Linked DNA regions of Lonchura striata. The protein of the gene in region 2 purifies or fractionates together with the protein of the main gene of each other region. This does not show direct contact. Links are inferred from orthologs where the notes say so. Each region holds a gene or a part of one and is shown on either strand. Other genes may lie near its edges.

Region 1 (10,675 bases), on a different chromosome or scaffold from region 2:
CTTTAGAAAGTACTTGAGAAGTAGATATTAAATGAAAGATCTGCAGGTGTGGTGTGTCCACAAGGTCAACTACACAGGCCTTGGACTCAACAACCACTCTCAGTTTTCATCTAAATAATCCCTAATGCCACCTTAAAAAATGAAAAAAACAGTAAGGATATAAATGGCAGTAACTGAAAGTGACTCACTGCATAAAAAATGGTATTTACTCCATTCTTACTCCAAACCATCAACCCTCATTCACATTCAAGAGCACTACAGAGAAATCAGAGACACTAAACACAAGCTCCTGTTTGCCTTCTGACTCCAGAGCTGCAGTGAAGCTGTGAACAATGCAGTTCTTGCCTTGAGGCACATGGCCCTCAGGTAGAAAAACAGGAGTCACACCCTCTGGAAGAAGCCTTTATTCAAATCTGGAACACCCATCTGAATTTCAAACCAGGTTTAAGTTCTTCCTGAAAGCTCAAAAGGAACAGGCCAATTTGGCCATCTTGCCTAGGAGAGCAAGGGCATTCTTCCCAAATATGCCAGGTGAGGCAAAATAAACCTCTCACATACAATAAAGGTACAATATTTATTTTTATTAAAACTAAATTAACATCAGTAAGGGTTCTTTTTTTTTCCAGTGCAGAGACTCACAGCAGCACCTTTCATTGTCATCCCATCTTTTACACTATCAAGAAACATCACTAGCAACAGATTTATTTATATGAGCAGAACCATCTCCACATTAAAAATTATCCTGTTACGATAATGTTCATAGGAACGATACCTTACATACCTTACACACACACACACACACATATATATATATATATATATATATATATATATATATATATATATATATATATATATGTATATCTGGGCACAGAGCAGCTCTTGACTCAATATACCAAAAAAAAAGACTGTGTGATGCTTGTTTAGATACAGGCCAGCATAGTCAGCTGTTGTGTTTTTAAACCAGCATGGTGCATGCATCTTAAAGAAAATAATTCCACTAAACATAGCATTATTAATATACAAACTCAGCTGCACTAATGACTTTTAAAAATGTGTCCATTTTGCCCATGCAGGTAGAGCAGCTCCAATGGCACCTGTGAAACAACACAGTGGGCAGCTCAGCCCCAGAGCTGTTCCCTGCCTCTCCTGGCACCTCTCCTACAGTCTTTAAACTGGTCCTTCTCAGGTCTGATACTGCTTTGGTCATTCCCAGCAGAATTTTGTTTCCCTTAAACATCTCAAGTAGTAGAGCAAAGATGACTTTCCCTTTCTGGAGATAAAACCCCACAAAAAGCACCCAACACATCTCCTATTAAGTTGCTAAATGTTATTTGCAGCTACCTTAAAACAAACACATTAACCCAGGAGCACCATCTTTTCTTTCATAAAATCACTTGTTTCAACTTCTTTCTTTGCATCAATCAAATCAGCTGCTGTCTTAATAACAAGCTATAAAATATACACTCAGACCATATAACTTATGACTACTGATAAGATCCTGGTATGTTTCTGTATTCCAGGAATTCCACTGTAAACTTCAATGTTTACTTTCAGTATTTATGTTATTACAGAGTGGCAAAGCTGAGCTGGGACTAATGAGCCATTATTCACCTGCAGCGTGTGAGCAGCACAACCCAGCTGCCCCAGAAGACGTGTCCTGCATTTCCCTACAGCTCACGGTGCTCAGAACAGCGCAGGGATCTGGGCAGCACCACCAAGTGAGAGTTAAGTAAGAGTTAAGTGAGAGTTTACACTTAACCCACACGCTGTGGCAAGGACAGGGACCTCTGTGTCAGTGTCAGCAAGCACTTCTGACCACTGGTACCTTCTGCCCTACACACAGAAAATCCATCACGTTCCTCCTCTCAGCCTGAGGAGCACAAACACCTTCCTGGGCGCTGTGTTTGTGCAGCTGGTGCTTAACACTGCAGGGCATGAACTTTCCAAGACAGTCAGGAGTTCCTCTTCGGTCTTCCTCTCCTGTGAAGGCTTTTCACTCCCAAGTGTGGCACTGGGTCTGTCTCACCTACAGGCAAAGGAGGAGCCTTTCACCTTCCCCTGCACATCCAACAGCACCTACCTCCCACAGCCCAACACAAGTGAACCGCAGGCTCTTCATGACAATACACCCTGAAGCATAAATAGTGGTAACCTAAAGAGATGCCTCCTACAAACCTGCCTGATGGACTTCAATTCAAAACAAAAAAAAATTAGTTTTAGTAATGGGGCACTAAAACGGTATCAGTTTTCAATGATCTCAGAGACATCCCCTGGGAGCATCTCATGTCTGCTGGATACCAAAAAGTCACTCTTGAATGCTAACTAAGAAATAATGCTAATTTGAGCAAAGGGCAGCTAACCACCAAAAATAGTGCAAAACCATCCAGCTTGGTATCAATTTTGGAGAACAAATTATTTGTTGTGTGTCAAAAAGGACATCTCTATTTAGACTGAAATTGGAAGTATTTGCTGTGACAGTCTTCAGAAAAGGTAACCATTATGTTACAACCCATCAGCATCTGGTGCAATTCTCTTAACAACAGGGTGTTTCTGGTCTGTTGTCTCTTTTAAGATTTCAGCACATATCATGGTAATGTCCATCTGCTGATATCAAATTACTGCCCAACATCTGCAACTGCACATCTGCAAAGGAACCAAGCTTTGGTTTGGTTTGTTACTAAAAGCAGGAAAAAAAGGCTTTTCTGTTTCTTAAGCAGACTGATCCATCTTTCTCACCTAGAGGGATGACAGCTTGTGATTATGAGTTTGCAGAGTCCTGAAGTGAAAGTTTTCCCGAGTAGGAGACCCTGCAGGAGGGAGCACTGCTGAGGCACACAAGGCTGAGCTGCACAGCAGCCAGCTAAGGTCGGTCCACGCTACCCTGACGGGCGGGAATCCTCTGTCTCCGTTACCTCACACCTCCAGACAGAAACAGGAAATACCAGCAAAAATAAACAGAAACATAGCTAGGGAAAAAACCCTTAACTTAATGAAAAGGAGAGGACGCAAACCTCTTTGACACCTACAAAACGGCTTGAACACACCCAAGGAACAAGGACCACCAAGACCAGCGGTGACGGGGCTGTGCCCCGCGGTCGAGGCTCGCCGCTCCCGGGGGCTGCGGCCACGTGCGCAGAGCCGGGCCAGCCCCGAGCCCGGCCCGCGCCCCGGTGCCCCCGGAGCGCTCCCCTCCCCCGCCGCGGCGGGCCCGGCGCGCAGGGCGCCCCCTGCCGGCTGCCGCCGCGCAGCGCCCCGCCGGGCGCGCTCCGGTTCGGGGGGGCCGCGGCGTCACGCCCGCGGCCGCTGCCGGGGCACCGGGGGTGCGCCGGCACCCCGGCACCGCGCACGCACTGCCACTTGCTTCGGAGCCCCCGCCCGGGCCGCAGCCGCCCGGGAAGGGGGTGCGTGGCACGGGGGCATCTGCCCGGTGCGGCCGCGAAGCTCCGAGTTTGGCGTCCCCCGCCTTTGTCTCGCAAACGGGTGTCGGTAAGCGTAGCCCGGGGCACGGATGGGTGAGGTAACGGCGCTCCGTGCCGCAGCTGCGCCTCGGGATGGCAGCGGCGGGTCCCGCCTTTTCCCGCGGGCAGGGACCCCTCGGCTGCTCCCATTCATCGCATCCCCGGCGCCGCTCCAGCACCAACTCCGCCGCCGGGGCCCGGTGCAGCTGCACCCAGGGATGCCGGACGCGGCCGGCGGCTGGCGGTCCCGCTCCCTCGGGCTGCCGGGACGCGTCCGTGCGGGGAAGGGAGGCGGCCGGGGCCGGCGGCGGGCAGGGAGCAGCGCCGCGGTGCCCGCACCGCCGGGGCTCCTCAACGTGTGTGCGGGCGGGGAGGGGCCGCTGCCAGCTCCGCACGCCCGGTGCGGCGGGCAGGGCGGCGGGCACGGCGCGGGATGCCCGCGGGAGGGAGGGAAGGAGGGAGGGGGCGGTCGGGCGCTGTCCCCGCCCGGGTCGCACCGCGGACCCGCGCTCGCACCTACCTGAGCGGGCTCTCCTCGCAGCGAGGGCGGGCTGGGGCGGGGGGGGCGGGGGGGCGCCGGACCCTCCCCGGCGCCGCCCGGTCCCGGGGCGGGCGGGCGGAGCGGAGCCGCCGGCGGCGCGGGGGAGACAAAGGGGGAGATGACGGGGGAGGGGGTGCAGTGTGCGGGGCGGGCGGTGCGGAGCGGCCCCGGGGGCGGGGGCGGCGGTGACTGGGCCGGGTGGCCGGGGCGGGGGCGCGGGCGGGGGCAGCGCCCGGGCCCCTCAGACAATACAGCCGGGTCCCGCTGCCCACAGCCTGCCCGGGCCAAGATGGCGGCCGAGAAAGAGCGGAAGTGACGCCAGACCCTCATTAGCATACGGGACTCATTGTCCGGCGGGAGGGGAGGGGGCCGCGCCCCGGGGGGGGGGGGCGGGGGAGCCCCGGGGGTCCCCGCGGGACCGGCCCCGCCGCGCCCGCCGCACCGGGCGGGGACGCGACCCCGCCCCTGGGGGGCCCCCGCGGGGCGCACCGGGCCGGCCGCGGCCATGGCGGCGGAGGCGGCGGCGGCAGCGGCGGCGGCGGGATCTACCCCGGCCCCGCTAGGAGGCGCCGCGCCCTGCGCCTGGGTCCGGCGCGGGGATCCCTCCGCCGCGCCCCCGGCCGGGACTACATCCCGTCCTGAGGGGCCGCCGCCGCCGCCGCCGGGGCGGGGGCGCGAGCGGGGCGGGGCCCGCGAGCGCGGGGACGCGCACGTGACCGCGGGGCGGCCCCGGGAGCGCGCGCGGGGCTCGTGCGGCGGCGGCGCCTCAGGGCGGCGACCGGCCCGGCCCCGGTGTCCGGTGGTCCTGCCGTGTCCATCTGCCCGGGGCTGCGAGGATGCTGAAGGGCCTGGAGCGTCTCCGTGCCCAGGAAAGGCCGAGCGAGCTGGGGGTGCCCAGCCTGGACGCGAGCCCCAGTGAGAGGGGGCTCCGCCCTGGCTGTCCCCGGGTGCCGGAGGGCAGAGCAGGCCCGGGCTCTGCTCCGGGGCCCAGCCGTGGCACCAGAGCCAGGGCAGGGCCTGAGCCCAGCAGTTCCCCTGCCCAGGAGGCAGAACTGCCCTGGGCAGTGCCAGCCCTGAGCAGAGGCCAGAGAGGCTCTGGGGTCTGATTGCAGAGCAGTCTGGACACAGGCCTGTGCCACGGGCTCTGGGGTGGCCCTGCTGGAGCAGGGAGGTGGCACCGGCTGAGCCACTGTGTCCCTGCCAGCTGGACTGGCTCTGGGGTTGTGCCCATCGCAGCTCGGCCAGGGCAGCCTCACTGGGACACCCTTTGGCAAAGTTGCCATGGGCTGGGACGGTGGCACCGTGAGGCGACACGAGCTATGTGCTCTACATGCTCTGAAATCCAAATTCATCACAGAACCATAGGATATGCTGAGCTGGAAGGCGCTCACCAGGACTGTTGAGTCCAGCTCCTGGTCCTGCACAGGACAACCCCAGGAATCCCTCCATGTCCCTTCAGACTTTGGGTTAACACCCTGAGAACGAGCCAGCGCCCAAAGGCGGGACTGTGATCTTTCTGGTGAGCCCTGTGCACGTGTGGTCACACACACCTGTGGATGCCCCTGGACATCCCATTTGCAGCAGGAATGTTGGATCAGGACAAGAGCCCACATGTGAGTCTTCCTTGTGGATCCTGACGCTGTTCAAGGTCTCTTTAACAAATGAGGATGATTTCTAAAAACCCTTCTAGGAGTGACAGGAATGGATGGCTTTTGTTACTTCAGAAAGACACAAACACTTGGAGGAGGAAGTAAAGTGTAATTCCCTCCATCCTCAGTGTTCACACCCTTTCTGGTTCAGTGACACGTTGGAGTTTAAGCTCACAATGCTAGAAAGGAAATTTGACTCCTTGCTTGAAGTGCAGAAGCAAAGTTGTCACCAGTTCTTTAGACTTCATGTAACTTAAGGATCTCCTGCATTTACAGGTGACTGGTGTCCTGACAATCTGTACATGCTGTTTATCACAATTCACTGAAGTAGCGTTTATGAAGAATTTAGTGATGTTTTGTTCTGTCTCTGAGGCTGCTTTGAGACTTTCTGACTCAGTGGGACATAGAAATCCCCTGCTTGTGGCTGCAAGTCAACCTGGGTTTCACTGGCTGCTCCCATGGCATCTTCACATCAGTGGTCATAAGAAGTCGGGAAGTCACAAAATCTTTTTACATGGAAATGTAAATTAAAAACCCAGGAAATACACAAAACTTGGAAACCAAAGCTAGTGCTTTGGTGTTAAAGAGCCCCTAGAACTGAGGTACTTTGAGAGTTCCCTGAGACTTGTGTGGAATCTGTCTCAAGGAAGGAAAGCAAAAAGAGCTGGTTTGGTTTTCCTATAATAACATCATTTTGCCTTCCAAGAGTCGATTATTTTTCTCTGATGGCACAATTGTTGAAGCATGTTATTGAAGCATGTTGGGGAACATTCTGAAACGTCACTAAGGCAGGACCATACTCAGAAACTCTCAATTAACTTCATGGCTGCTTGAGCCAGTCTGCTCCTGCCTAAAATACACAGCCCCACACCTGAGCACCTTCCTATACGAACACTATTTAATTTGTGCCTTACCACTGGCCACTTTTTAGCCATCACTTAAGATAAAAAATACACCAGCTCCAGAAGAACAACCCACAGACCTGCTCTAAGGGCTGGATTTGAGTAAGCAGAAGTGTCTGAAGGTTGGAGGAACCGAGTGTAAGTGGGATGTGATAATGCAGCTGGAGATAGAAATGATATTTGAGAGATATTTACAGGAGTGAGCACAACACAAAGATCTGTGCAAAGGACACAACAGCTCAAACACAGAGACCTGCAATTCAGACAGGAGAGCTGAACAGGCTGTTGGGCATCATTCCCTGCCCTGAATTCTGGGAGCAAGTGAAGGTATCTGAGTAAATTTGTGTCTTGCTGTATGTACTTACCAGAAGACAAGGTAAGATAAGGTTGGGATGGAAATAGAGGTGGATAGAGTTTCCCCAGAGCAGTAATATCAAGGAGTTTCAGCTGGGAACACTCCCAGCCATGATGTTGGTACTCAGTCCATGATTACAGTGTGGAAAAACATTTGTGAAGAGTGTAGAAACTGGAATTTGGCATGGGAGGGGATGAAATTAGACCCAGATAGAAAGGAGAGTGTCAGGAGGCAGAAATATTCAGTGCATCAGAGGGGTGCTGCAGGCACCCCTCTGATTTTAGGGTAGGGGAGAGAAAGGGAGGGAAAGGAGATGTGGCAGCAGAAGCTGGAGCAGAAGGGAGCCACTGCCTGCCTCGGGGTAAAATCTACAGTGACAGGGCTGAGAAAATGGGGGAAGGATGAGAGGGTGTGAAAGCAGTCATGAGTGATGGACAAGATCTTGTTCTCATTCAGCTCAGGAGGGTTCTTGTGGTGGTTTGAAGTGTGACAGCTGTCAACAGGGATTTGGGGAAGAAAGATGAGAATTTACAAAGTTTGTGTGGAAAGATTGATAGTAAAGCTAAAATTCAAGCAGTGCAGAAGAAGGAGAAAAGGAGTTTTGACATCATTTTTCTCCTGTGTGTACAGAGTGAACAAAATGAAACAGAAGTTGATGCTAATAGTCTTAATCTACTTTTTCTATTGCAGAAGTGGGTATTGTTTCTAACAATACAGCCACTGGAAAAATCAGTAAAATCACTGCATTGTAAGAGACGAAACACTTCACACCAGAGGGGAGGCAATTAGCACTCCCAAGCTGAATAGCTTTAATTGCACATGCGTTGTGCTGCTGCTTCAGGTCAAAACTGTGCCCAGATTCATCCTACTACTAGCTCAGTGTCATGCTTGGGTTTTATTCAAATACAAAATAATTAAGATGACTATTGATGCTTTTACACACAACATAATTAATTATATAATAAATACAAGTAAGTTAATCAGCATTAGGACCACTGGTCTCACAATGATCTTTAAGACCCACTAAGCCACCCAGCTCCTGTGCTGATCAGACACCTGCCAGCATTGGTGCCAGTTTCTGTTGAACAGCCAGTGCCACCACCTTGCAGGAATAACTTCCCATTTTATGCTGTCTGCTTTGTTGAAATCCCTCTCAATGGCTAAGTTTTCAGATCTAGTTTTGGATTAAACGGTGTAATTAATTTTTCTCTCTCTGGTTCCAATATATTTTCCCCTGAACAGTGACAACCAGTCTATAAGAAAGTTTTTAATTGCCACAATGCCTGGAGAGAGGGGTACAACATGGCAGGAACAGAGGAGGAGATGATGCTCAAAGTTGCTGTGCTTGGCACTAGTTTCTTTCTTTGCCCATGTCTCCTGCAGCATGGCACAGGGGAGGTAATAAACAAGTTCTAAAGCAAGGAAGAGTTTGATGAGCAGTCCTGTCCCCTGCACACCCCCTGCTCCTGCTGCTCCTGGTATCAGCATTTGCCTGAGCTCTGGAATGCCAGCCACTGAAATGTGTGGCTGAAGTCATCCCTGCACTGAACTCAGCAGGCAATCTGTCACTGAATTCATTTCTGCCAAGATTCCAATCCAGGCTTGTACTGATAGACCCTCGAATAAATATTATTGATTAGTCATCATTATTTTTTACTGTTGATGTGCAGAAGGTTGTGGAGCCTTGCAGTTGGATTTCTGCACAGTCCACTGGAAGATCTGTTTGATTAGAGTGTTTATATTGGCAGCGAGGTTCATCTTTGTTGCAGGCTGAGGTTAAAGTCTCAGATTTTGTCAAAAACCCAAAGCAAAAGAGAAGCCAACTCCCCTGAACCTCAGAGCAGAAAAATCCTCACCAAAGAGAGCAGCTAGGGGTGTGGGGCTGGCTCTGGATTCACACCCCAGAACACAAACAAGCCAGGCTTTGGGGTCTGGGAGGTTCCAGCTTCAGCATCCTCTGGGGCAGAGGGACTGAACTGCTGGCCCTGGTGCCTGAGCCCCTAAATCTGCTCGGGGCAGGGAAGCCACGGTGCCAAACGTGAGTTACCTTCTCCCCTGCGTGGAACATGCCCAGCTCCAGCCCTGCTCCGAACTGCTGGCAGCCAGGAAGCAATTACAGCTCCTGCTCCTGCCAGATGATTGAGTGCTCGCAGACACAGATTCCTGAGAAAGTATAATAGAGAAAGTGCATTAGCAGGGTATTTGTGCCTTCATAGGAAATGAATATGGATGTAATTAAGAAAAGCTGATTTATGTGGAACTGTAAAGCCAAGGACATAAAATGAAAAATTCTCAGTAAATGTCAAGTCAGTGTTTTGTGGTGGCCAAAACAAGGCAAGGAGAGTATTGCAATGGTATTAAGGAACTGAAAATTAAAATGCCACTATGTAAATCCCTAGTACATGAATATTTAAGACATTATATGGAGTTCCAAGCACCTGATCCCTAAAGATTATAGAAGTGCTGTTCCACTCTAGTCTGTTACTAACATTTTGAGAACAGCAAGATCACAAGGCTTTCTTTTTCTAGGAAAAGCCGAGTGGTTTCCATGGTGGGTGTGGGGAAGTGTGTGTGTGTGTAGACCCCACTAAGGCAGGAGAGCCTGGGTGTCCCTAATGCTTCCCCTGCCCACGGGGCCCACGGGTTAGCTCCTTCAGAGGGGCTTCCTGCAAGCAGGTGGTGCACACTGAGATCAGTTTTCCTTCTTTCAGGCACTGTTGTGTCTGCTCATGTCCTGATGCCACGGAGCTCTTGGGTTTGTTCCTTTATAGCACATTTTTCCCTGATAAATCCATCACCTTTAAGCACAGTGAGAAATTTCACCTATTTACCTAAAACCTGACTGTTGCCCTGTCACATTTAAATCTTTCACACACTGCAGCACACAAAATACTCCTGTATTATGACCCAGACTGATATGTGAGATGTGAAAGCACCTTCCTCCAAACGTGATCTCATCAATAAATGAAGGAATTTTACCAAGTAATTTTCATAATTAAAAAAGTAGCCATGAACCTTCTAAAAGCTGAAAGCTAATTCACAGCAGTCAGATGATGAATAATTCATACACTGGACTTCAGTTATATATCCCTACATAAAAATGAGGAAAATATGAACTTCACGAGGCTTAGTTTGCATTCCAGCAAATGATCCGCATTATGTAAATTAAAAAAAAAATATCTAAACCATCATTATTTGGTCATTAAAAACTTTGTAACTATTTTTAACTTAAAATATTACTTTTTGCCATGAAACCTCCAAATGAGATGTAAATAGATAAAACCTATTTATTGCATATTTCACTGGCCCTTAAATCCAGAAATGTATTTCTGTATATATTATTGCTATTATTGCTCTGATTAGTCTGCAGCAAATGAAATTGTATGTAATTTTCTGAAAAAGTACAGGCAAATGTCACAAAATGAGTTCAGTCACTGTGATCCAGTTACATGTGGGTTCAAAACCTGCATCTTTTATTATTTTAAAGCAAATTCCATCTGTAGCTTTTGCTCTGGACAGTCAGCAAAGGAGAAGCTATCAGAATCTGTACTACCCCACTAGAGAACAGAGGACTAGCTCTAAAGCAGTCCACTAGAAAATAACCTTTATTGCAAGTTTTGTTGAATTATTTTTATCAATGTGTTGACTGTGAAATATAAATTTATCATTTATCTAGACTTTCTAAATGTTTTTCTAACATTAACAACTGCATCTAGCGTGCTAATGGAATGCAGACAAACATGAGCAAAACAGGCAGCATTTGTAAT
Region 2 (10,139 bases):
TTGCCATGCAAGATAGGATGAAGAACCTCTTAATTCCCCAGCCTCTGTCCCAAAGGCTGAACACTCTTAGCACTCATAATCTTGTGCACTGAGTCATATTAAATAAGTTGCAGGACTCAGCCTAGTTTTGCCACGCTTCCTCCAGTACACTGCTTTAGAAGGAGGGGTGAGTTTCAATCCGAACCTAAAAACCAGGGTATGTATTCCCTTCCTCCACTTTCCCCGGGCTTTATATTGAAAGCAGAGCAGGATCTAGGTGACTTACCTGCTGTCAGCACCTTCTATGTTTTAAATTTTTCTATCAGGGCACAGAAGAGCCATAAAAATGAAGAACTACATTATCTCACTTTGCATCAGATTTTCCACCTTCCTCTGTGATTTACCATACCAAAATCTCTGCCATTTGAGTGATATGGAAAGTGGCAGATGAAGGCTCAAAACCTGTAATGCTGCCTAGAATATGCAGCAAATAGAGTCTAATTAGAAATTAATATTTATTAGCTATGTTCCTCTAACATAATTCGTACTGCCGCAGAGTATCACTAGAGTATCACGTAGAAGGCAAGAAGGTTTGAAGTGAAGTCCCTCAGTAGAGAAGCACAGCAAATGCCATGTGGGGAGGCTGACAGGACCTGGCTCTGCAGAGACGCCGGCCTGCCCGACAGGGGCAGAGGAGCCCACGGACAGGAGGACTCCGAGACATTAAATACCTGCTGGCTGAGAGCCGGGAGCGCTGCAACAACCGAGAGGGGCTGGTCCTCACGGGCCGTGCAGAGCCGCGGGCTCCTTCCCGGCGGAGGCGGAGCGGGCGCGTCACGTGCGGCCGTGTTCCCGCAGCCCGGCTTCCTCCTGCGGCCGTGGCCCCGCGGCCATGTCCCCTCAGCCGTGTCCCCGCAGCCCGGCTTCCTCCTGCGGCCCTGGCCCCGCGGCCATGTCCCCTCAGCCGTGTCCCCTCAGCCACGTTCCCGCAGCCCGGCTTCCTCCTGCGGCCCTGGCCCCGCGGCCATGTCCCCTCAGCCGTGTCCCCTCAGCCACGTTCCCGCAGCCCGGCTTCCTCCTGCGGCCGTGGCTCCGCAGCCATGTCCCCTCAGCCACGTTCCCGCAGCCCGGCTTCCTCCTGCGGCCCTGGCTCCGCGGCCATGTCCCCTCAGCCGTGTCCCCTCAGCCGTGGCCCTGCAGCCATGTCCCCTCAGCCGTGGCCCTGCGGACATGTCCCCTCAGCCGTGTCCCCTCAGCCGTGTCATGTCCCCTCAGCCGTGTCCCCTCAGCCGTGTCATGTCCCCTCAGCCGTGTCATGTCCCCTCAGCCGTGTCCCCTCAGCCCTGCTTCCCGCGGAGGGCAGCGGCTTGGCCAGCGAGGGAGTTGGCGCTGGCTCGGCAGGGCTCACGGGGACAGTGTCTCTGAACAACATCCCTGCCTTTGCCCGTTGGTTTGTAGAACGAAGTCCTAGTAAACAGTGTCCCCCAAAATGGAGCTTCCATACAACGGAATGTTTATAGAAAATGCACCACAATGTGTATGATGAAGTTGGGAATTAAATATTGGGGAAATAGTCAGGATTTGACTTGCCAGGAGGCCTTGTCCCATCAGAAGTCAACCAATGACTAAAGCCAGGAACAAAGCAAACCTGGAGCACCTGCAGAACAGAGAATACCTCCGAATGAACAACTGAAAAAAAGAGAACCATTAGAGTTATATCCCCTTCCACTTCTCAACAGTATGTAAATACGGTAAGGTCAAACCTAGACAGAACTGTTGAGTGTGTGACAAGTTTTCTCCAAGAACCTGTGTTTCAAATCCAGCATGTGAGATCTTTCTCAAGCTCCACACTCCTGCATACTCCACAGTTCTTCTTTGCTGGAGAAGGTTTTGTGGGATAAACACAAAACCAATTCTTCAACCAAGACTCATCTCTATGGCAAAAACAACGAACTAAGAATACACTCACTGTGTCAGCAGGTCCTGACAGAAGCACTGCAAGGGTTAACAAAAGAAATGTCAGGATATACTGAGTTTCAGTTACAGCTTGTATACTGAAAGTAAGGATCCTTATTCAGGAGTGAATTCTACTCAATGAAACTCAAATTTTAAGTAAATGCAAATAGCCTATACTAAAAATGTGAAAAATAAACAAAATATCATTTAATTTAATTTGAGTGCCCAAGCAAGTAATTTTCAAGTCTGTTTAATGTTTAGGAAGAAAAAGCCTTACTTCAGTCTCTGCAAATGGTTTTAGTTACTTCTGTGACTTTCCATCTCTTGAGGATAATCTACTCCTAATAAGGACAATTGCTTAGATTTATTACCCCACTGAGGTCTTGTTAAAGATCTAACAAAAATCCTATTTAAATGAAAAGGACAATAGAATTTAAAGTCAGTGTAGAGTTTAATTAAAACCTGAAACAGAATCAATGTCTTCATGAATTAGAAAAGCAAAAACAGATTTCAAAGCTGTTAAACTATGTGTAATTGGCATAAACTATCCATTGAGCCAAAGTTTAAAAAAAAGGCAGACTATCGTATGGAAATTGGAGTCTATTAATAAATAAAAAACCTGATACGTGTGCATAGCACCATATTTTTGCATGCATTTTTTTATTTGCCTAATTTGCTAAGCATATCTTAGAGCAAACATGAAACAAGCTAGCTGTTAAGTTGAACAAATCCAAAAGGGACAAAAAGAGACTGATTGAAATCAATGCATTAACATGAACCAGCATTTAAAAACGCTTCATAATGTTCCCAAAGCGAGCATGTAAACTGCAGCAGTCTCAGTTCAAAACTGCTGTAATCTGTGTTCCCATGTAGTCATTATTCATACATGGGAGTATACAGCTCCTAAGTCATTTTTCATGCATGAATAGTTTAAAACCCAAAATCACTGACATAAATCCACAAGGGAGACCGCCCTTTTGAAAGTTAACATCTCGAGAACTCTGGGAAGGAATGTGAAGCCAGTACCAGTCCATGTGCTGACAAAACTGTTCTGTAGGGAAGGATCTATGCGCAGCCCCACTCCGACCGCAGGCACACCCAAGCCTTGCCCAGCCCCAGAGCCACCGCCGGCCTCTTGGGTCCCATTTGCAGAGCCAAACCCAGCAAGGTCGCAGCCACGACCCCAAGCCAGATCTCGCCACCTCTCCCTTCTCCTACCGGCATGCAACCGGGACCTCGCACACAGGGCAGGGAGGTCAGCACAACAGCTGCTTTGGGCACACACTTTCAGGAGAAAATAAATTCTGAGACAAGAACTATCCTATAACCTATTTCTGCATTAAAGGCAGAAACAAAAGGCTCTTTTGTTTCCCTTCTTTCCCACAGGAAGGGTGATGGGCTGCCTGGGGCGGGCAGACGCGGATGGGCTCGGTGCAGAGGAACTGCACACCCAGGTGCTCCAGGCAGCAGTGGCTGGAAATGGTACCCCAGCTCGGCTGGCCGCCCTAGCTGGCCCAGCTGTCACCCGAGGGGGACAAATTAAGAGTCAGAAGGGAACTCGTCTGGAAAAATCCCGAAAGGATGGTACGTCACCTTCCCTCTGCAGCACATCAGTCCCTTGTTAACCGTTTTATCAATCTGGTACAAGCCCACAGAACTGGCCATCTTACGTAGGCCTCTCTCCATTTAAAGTTACAGTTCTTGCCGGTGTTACGATATAGTCGGCGCCTTTGCTTTTAACTTCCATTTTTGCATGGGTGTTCAGTATTTTGGCCTCCCTTTAAGTCCGGAAACACCTGGCCGAGGCAAGGCCAGCTGCAGCCGGGCCACCAGGTCCCTCCGGGGCGCGGCTGCGCGGCGGTGGCGGCCGGGTCCCTCCCTTGGTCCCTGCCCGCGGGTCTGTGTGTCACCTACCCAGCAGCGCCGAGACGCGAGAGCCCTCTGGACAAGCACCGTGGAACACGCCATGGGGTGCCTGCAGCACAAGCTGTGCCATACCTCGGTCTCCCCCTGCGCCTGGTGCCAGCACCGAGGGGGAGCGCACGGTGACACGCGAGTGCCAGCGCTCAAGCCCCCGGAGGGCGGCGCCCCGAGGGCGGCACCCCGGCCGTCCCGGGCCGCCCCTGCGCACGGCCGGCGGGGCCGTGGCCTCCGGCCCGCCCGGCCCGCGGGCTGCGCGGAGCGGGCGCGGCGCCAGCGGCCCGCGCTGTCCCGGGCCCGGCCCCGCACTGAGCCCCGCGCTGTGCCGGTGCGCAGTGAACGAGGGCTCGTTCCGCGCACGGTTCCTGCACGGCGGATGGGCAATTCCTCCACGCGCCTCAGGCCGGCGATTGTGAGCGCAGTAATGGAGGGGAAATGTCCGATGTGAGCCCCATGTGAAAGACATCAAAACACTTTGTGTGCGGTGCATCCTGGGGGTTGTATTCCTCAAAGACCTTTTTAAAGAAACACAGTCTGAAATCTCTTGTCAGGGTCTGCAGGAAAGACACAGCTGTTTACAAATGGTACTTGGAATTATGTTACCCATTCCAGTTGGTGACAAAGAGCTCCTCATTTCCCATTCCATCTACAGGAGTGGAAACGTCAATTTAATGCTCTTTATTTAGTTCTTTCACTACAGATACAAAGCCTAGTACAGTTTCAAGGCAATGAGGAATGCTATGAAACTGGGATGAAATCTTGGATTATTCCAAGCCCTGTCAACTACCTCTATAGCTAACAAGCAGAACTACATCTTGGTGACTTATGACTAAACTCCAAATAAAAAATACAATTGAAAATATATACGTAGCTGCTAATGACAATTCTAAACAGGATTTAGGATCTCTGTTTCACTAATGTTATGTAGTTCGCTTGCCACATACATGAAACAAAGGCTACTTTCCAGTTCAAGGATGAGTGAAATATAACTGTTGAAAGAAACATGAGTCTGCTTTGCTCCTTGTACACATGCACTTTCTTTTGGCAATAACAGCATTGCCAAGAGATAAGAGACAGGCTTCTCAAAAGGTAATGCACATAAGAACCTTACAGAACAACTGGCCTGGTACAACAGCTGAGTGGCACAGGGCGAGAGTGGAGCTCCATAGCGTCAACAAGCTTTTCTGACAGAACACAGATTTACCCTCAGTGACTATTTTAATTACTGATTAGGTTTCTACATCTTCACAAACACATTCCAGTCATACTTCCAAAAGTATCTGGCCGGTCAGCACAACCTTGTATAGAAGTAGACAAAATGGCTTCTGCATGAAGTTTGTCTACAGAGGAGAAAAGGCAAAATAAAGGCATGAAGGTGAGGGTTGCCCCAAACTCAGCATCACCCTCAAAGCTTCATGTAAGAAACAGGTCATTCCTAAAGCTGTGCCTCTGAAGGAGGCAATACTTTGTCCACTATTTTTTCTCCTGTTTTGCTTTTTAGTCATGTTATGTCCTGAATAAAACATCTTAGAACAGATACCCCACTCTTTCATTAAAAGTTACGGGAGAGACTTTTTTATAAAACTACATCTATCTGATGCTTCTTTAGTAAACTTATTCTGCTGGGGTAATGGATTGTTGTCCCTGTCCTGGAGGAGGCTGATGCTGGGCATGTGGCTACTCTGTGTGCCCTCCCTAATGCAGAGCTCTGAGACTCTCCTTCCAGGGATGGATCATGATGTTTTCATGTCTGACACCAACTCTACCTATGGCTGCACTCACAGATTTTTCAGTGAATACTTACACAGCTACAGCACCTGACATGATATCAGCCCAGCATTTCCCATTATTAGGGGTATGGAGGAATGCAGATAAAGTACTTTACTTCCTTCAGTGCATCATCCCACTCCAGGAAAGGAAACAATTTCTCACAGGGCTTAAGTAAGCAAAAGGTGAGGCCTACAATTAACTAGGGCCACAAATACAAATGATAATTACCTCAACCCAAAGGAAAATATATAGCTACTTCGGAAAGTATTAATGCAGATTAAATCCAGTCAATAGCAGAAGTCAGAGTTATTAATAAATTCTGGTTCTCATATCTGCTCTTCCAGAAGAAAAACACTTTAAGAATGCAACAGATGCTTTGCTTTGAGCATACTCCAGTAGATCTCAGTACTGCTTACATACACCTGAACGAGCAGTTTATTGATGGGAGGGAGCTGGCCTGTCCCACATCTGTTATAAGTTACCTACTTGCAGGACTAAGACCCAGTTATCTCTATAAAGCTAAAATCAACCAAACAAAACCAGGAAGAGGTAAGGTGGAAGAGTAGTTAGCTCTTTTACATAGTTTCCACAAGGACCTGGAACTAGCAATTGTGTTTAGGTAGATGGTTTTCTGTTTGATAAGCACACACACAATCCTTATTTATAAATGCAAATGTTACTGGAATGGGAGGATAGAATTGTTCGTTAAATCACGACAAGTCTGATCTCTTGGAGAGCTAGAATTAATAAAAAAGCATGAAAATTAATGTTTCCATTGTGTCACTGCAGGGCAAATCTTTCTTTCCAGTCTTTCTTCCAATCTGAAAATTTCTGAAATGGTTCACAGAGATGCCATGAACACCTGCTCTAGGAAACCTACCTTTCTCCTATCACTTCTAAAGTTTGCTCTGTCCCACAGGCAAAATCTCTCCTCCACAATACGTGCCTACAACATCTCAGATCACTTCATTTCCTTTCTCTACCCAACTTGGGAGCATCAGGTATCTTCACCCCTGAGCATTGTTCAGTTCCTCTTAGAGGAGGACGTGTCTGCCCCTTCCAGAACACAGGAGGCAAACAGGTGCCCTCTGTGTAGCTTCCTCACACCTGCAAAAGTTGCAGCAGCAGAGTATAACAGTACTTCTGCAGTGAGCTCAATGTTCACCACCCACACAGGAAGGGGAAGTACAGGAACATCACAAACAAGTGAGGAGGGACTTGGGTTTTGCTTTGAGACTATCCTTTTTATATAGACTGTAGAAAAGTAATATTTTCTTAAGCACAGTTGTTTTTTTAAAAGCAGGAGGTATTTTCCTTGCTGAAAAATCAAAGAGGCACTCAAATGCACTAAGCATAACATGCTTAGTGCATTTTATTAAGCAAGCTGCTTCTACTGTCACAATGCAATGACTGGTCCTATCTTACTGTCACCTTCTCCCAGTTACTCACTAATGCTGCATGAACATGCAGATACACCCATCTACTAAAACAAAATGCAACAAAGCCTCTACCCAACTTTGGGTCTACTTAAACTGACAGCAAAGTCACAAGTTACAGTAGGAACTATTTTTATGTATTCTCAAGTAAATACAATTAAATAACAAAACTAGGGGGAAAAATCATACTAAGTCCTATACAAGTGTTCAGACAAGAACTTAAAATAACACCTCATTTCTTTTCAGGTTACCATTTGTTTTGCACTACTTTTAAATATTCTACTGTGTCTCTAGGCACTGTAAGACAGTCATTCTGCAGCAAAACTTCTGCTGAAGTAGGCTCTGGTGGTGGAATGCATTTAGAAATGATGGCCAGATGATGGCATGGTAAACGTCCTTCCTTTGACAGCCTGTATATGTCTATTAGAAATATTCCTTGTTCCATATGCATGTGGAGGATTAGACACATACACTCCTCACACAGAACAAGTATCTCCTGGAACACGTCAGCAGAGTATTTACTACCAAATCCAGAAGGAGTTTGTGATTCTTACATTGTCCCCATTAATGAGAAAAATGTCACTATACAAAAGCTCTCTTTTTTTTGCTTTCTTATCAAATCCTTCAAACAGCTGATAACTAGCTTTTATAGATTGGAGAGTCAGATGGAATTCTGAACCTATTGTTTTACTAAAACCCCAGGGGTCAACTTATCACCCGAAAACCATTTTACATGGACAATTTGACTTTCATATGGAGTGTCAGAACATACCCTAGATGGAAATCTAAAATAAATTATATTGAATAGTGCCTTCTTTGTGCTGAAATTTATTGGTCCCACACTACAATAATTTTGAAAATTGTATCCCTTAAGCTGCAGTGCTGAGATATTATTAACTGCTTGAACTGAAAGAGCAGGTCTGATCAACTGCTATAAAGTCTATGGACAGAGACTAATTTCTATTGAACCACATGCTTATCTGAAGCTGTGTTCCACCATTGCAAGCTGCCAACTTTATTTTCTTCCAGAATACACTGCCCATCTTTTTACCATCATCCTCAGTATGCACTGTCACTTCAGCAAATTCATTCCAGGAGCTAAGAATGTGTCTAAGCTTCTGCTAATATGGTTGTCTGAGACAATCACACCCAGGAGACGGGGAGGGAGATCCATCCACTTGTACCTCTTATCTTCCTAAAACAGGTTATTTTCCTCACTAAGCAAGCCTCCAGTCTCTGAAACGCATCTCTGTGATGAATCACAAGATAAGCATATCTATTTAATGGCCAACACATTCTTTATCACTTCTGCTACCACAATTAAGAAATAAAATTATTTGATAATGTGCTGATGCTTTGGTCAATACACATTTACATCAGTTAGTACAATTTTTAAAAACTAAACTGACCTCAGAGCCTAAAATCTTTATAATTGAGAAGATAATGAAAATGATAAATGATACAGCTGCTGGGTGACTATTCTTTGAATGGAAATTCCCAACTAGACAGAAAAACCTTCCCCAGGCATAACACATAAGACACAAGGATAGAGTTCTGGGATAAAAGAAATGTATTTCCTACACCCAGGAACCTAACAAGTCTGGAATAAAACAGCTAAAATATTACACCACAACCAGGAAAAATAGTAATAAATTGTACTGCCTCATTTTCATTCAGATAATTTAATAGCCTTTATAAACTGAAAGAAATTGTTAAAAAGGAGGTTCTGATTTGCACATCCAAGTTTCTAGATAGTACTATGTTCACTTTTTCTTTACTAGACAGTGTCAAGCTCTCCATGAGGCATTCAAAACTAATGACAACTCACTGTGGCAAATCAATCTCTCTAAGCAGAGAATCTGTTGCTTCTGGCAATGGCATTCAGCTCATTAAGACCTGTGCCCAGCAGGAATTTGAAAACCAAGGTGTGGCAGGTCTCTTCCAAACTTTTTAATGCCTGTCTGTTCAACATCCTTTATTTTAGGATGGATCTAAGAAGCAGAAGGAGCCTGTCAGTAAGTGGACACTTGTCCTGAATGAGTGGCTTGGCTGCTTAAAAAACACCATCAAAGGTATTGGCAAAGCAGGATACAATAAGAATCTGTGAAAATAGACAGAGTTCAATGGCAAGGTTCACTGTATTACTTATTGCATTAGACAGATTAAAGCATAAAAAAGAATAGTATTTCTGTGTCTACTTTCATTACATCCTACCATTTATTGAAGTGACTAGAGCAAGTTAGCAGCCTTTTCCTGTCTCACTCAAACAATAGGAATTCTCTCACATCACAAATTCACAGTATTGAAGATAAGGAAAAGTGCTAAGTTTGGAGTTTTCCACTTCTACTGATGAATATTCTGAGTATTTTTAAGTGCTTAAACTGATGAGATAAATGTTTTGGAATCGGTTTCTCTAAATTATAGCTTAATTAGATCAAAAGAAGAAGTCCACAATTTCAAAGGATAAAGCCTGAATCTAGCTAGAAGTGTGATCAGGTATCAACATGCAGCAGCTTAAAATAAGTTATGCAAGCTAACTTTAATATGTGTGAATATCAGGTTTCCAATGCAGAAATGTGTATTTTTCAATATACTTTTCTGAGCAGAAATCATATAATGTCATTTATATGCAAATCAGACTATATTCTGCAACTGATTCTTCAGTGCAGAAGCCATGGGAATTATTTGCACTTAATAAAGCCTCATAAATAGGTTTTGCCTCTAAGTGGATGGGGGAACAGCAAATATATCATAGCCATTTACAGTTACAAGCGTCTTCTTATTTTGAAAGTTATATGCATCCTTTAATAGGAAGTTTCACAGTTACAAAAGAAACATTGTTTTCTTTATATAAACAAAATACCCTTACAGCCTTCAAAACAAAATGTTTTGCCTTATTCCCTATGCTCAGCTATCGAAAATATAGAAATTGTCATCTAGCTTCAGTCAAAAAGACATGCTAGTTCCATGCAGTATATATTAAATACAGAAATAAATTAATTGTTATTATATCTAGGCAATTTTGTATTTGAAAGGACATATACCTTCTTTATGTGAAGTATGTCCACCCAGTACCAT

Evidence for each region. Proteins that work in one complex are often made in the same cells at the same time.
Region 1: the proteins of ZNF644 (region 2) and ADNP purify together in Homo sapiens (affinity purification with mass spectrometry; 3 studies listed by BioGRID and IntAct, with this or other methods). This does not show direct contact. The link is inferred for Lonchura striata from reciprocal best matches to the Homo sapiens genes ZNF644 and ADNP.

What each region holds. Positions count from the first base shown.
Region 1 is NC_134619.1:1,235,147-1,245,821, forward strand, and holds the start of ADNP (activity-dependent neuroprotector homeobox protein), read right to left. Parts: upstream 4,035-10,675; 5' UTR 3,982-4,034; intron 3,490-3,981; exon of another isoform or gene 3,350-3,489; intron 2,923-3,349; exon of another isoform or gene 2,740-2,922; intron 1-2,739.
Region 2 is NC_134611.1:20,147,705-20,157,843, forward strand, and holds the start of ZNF644 (zinc finger protein 644), read right to left. Parts: upstream 4,046-10,139; 5' UTR 3,850-4,045; intron 797-3,849; exon of another isoform or gene 711-796; intron 1-710.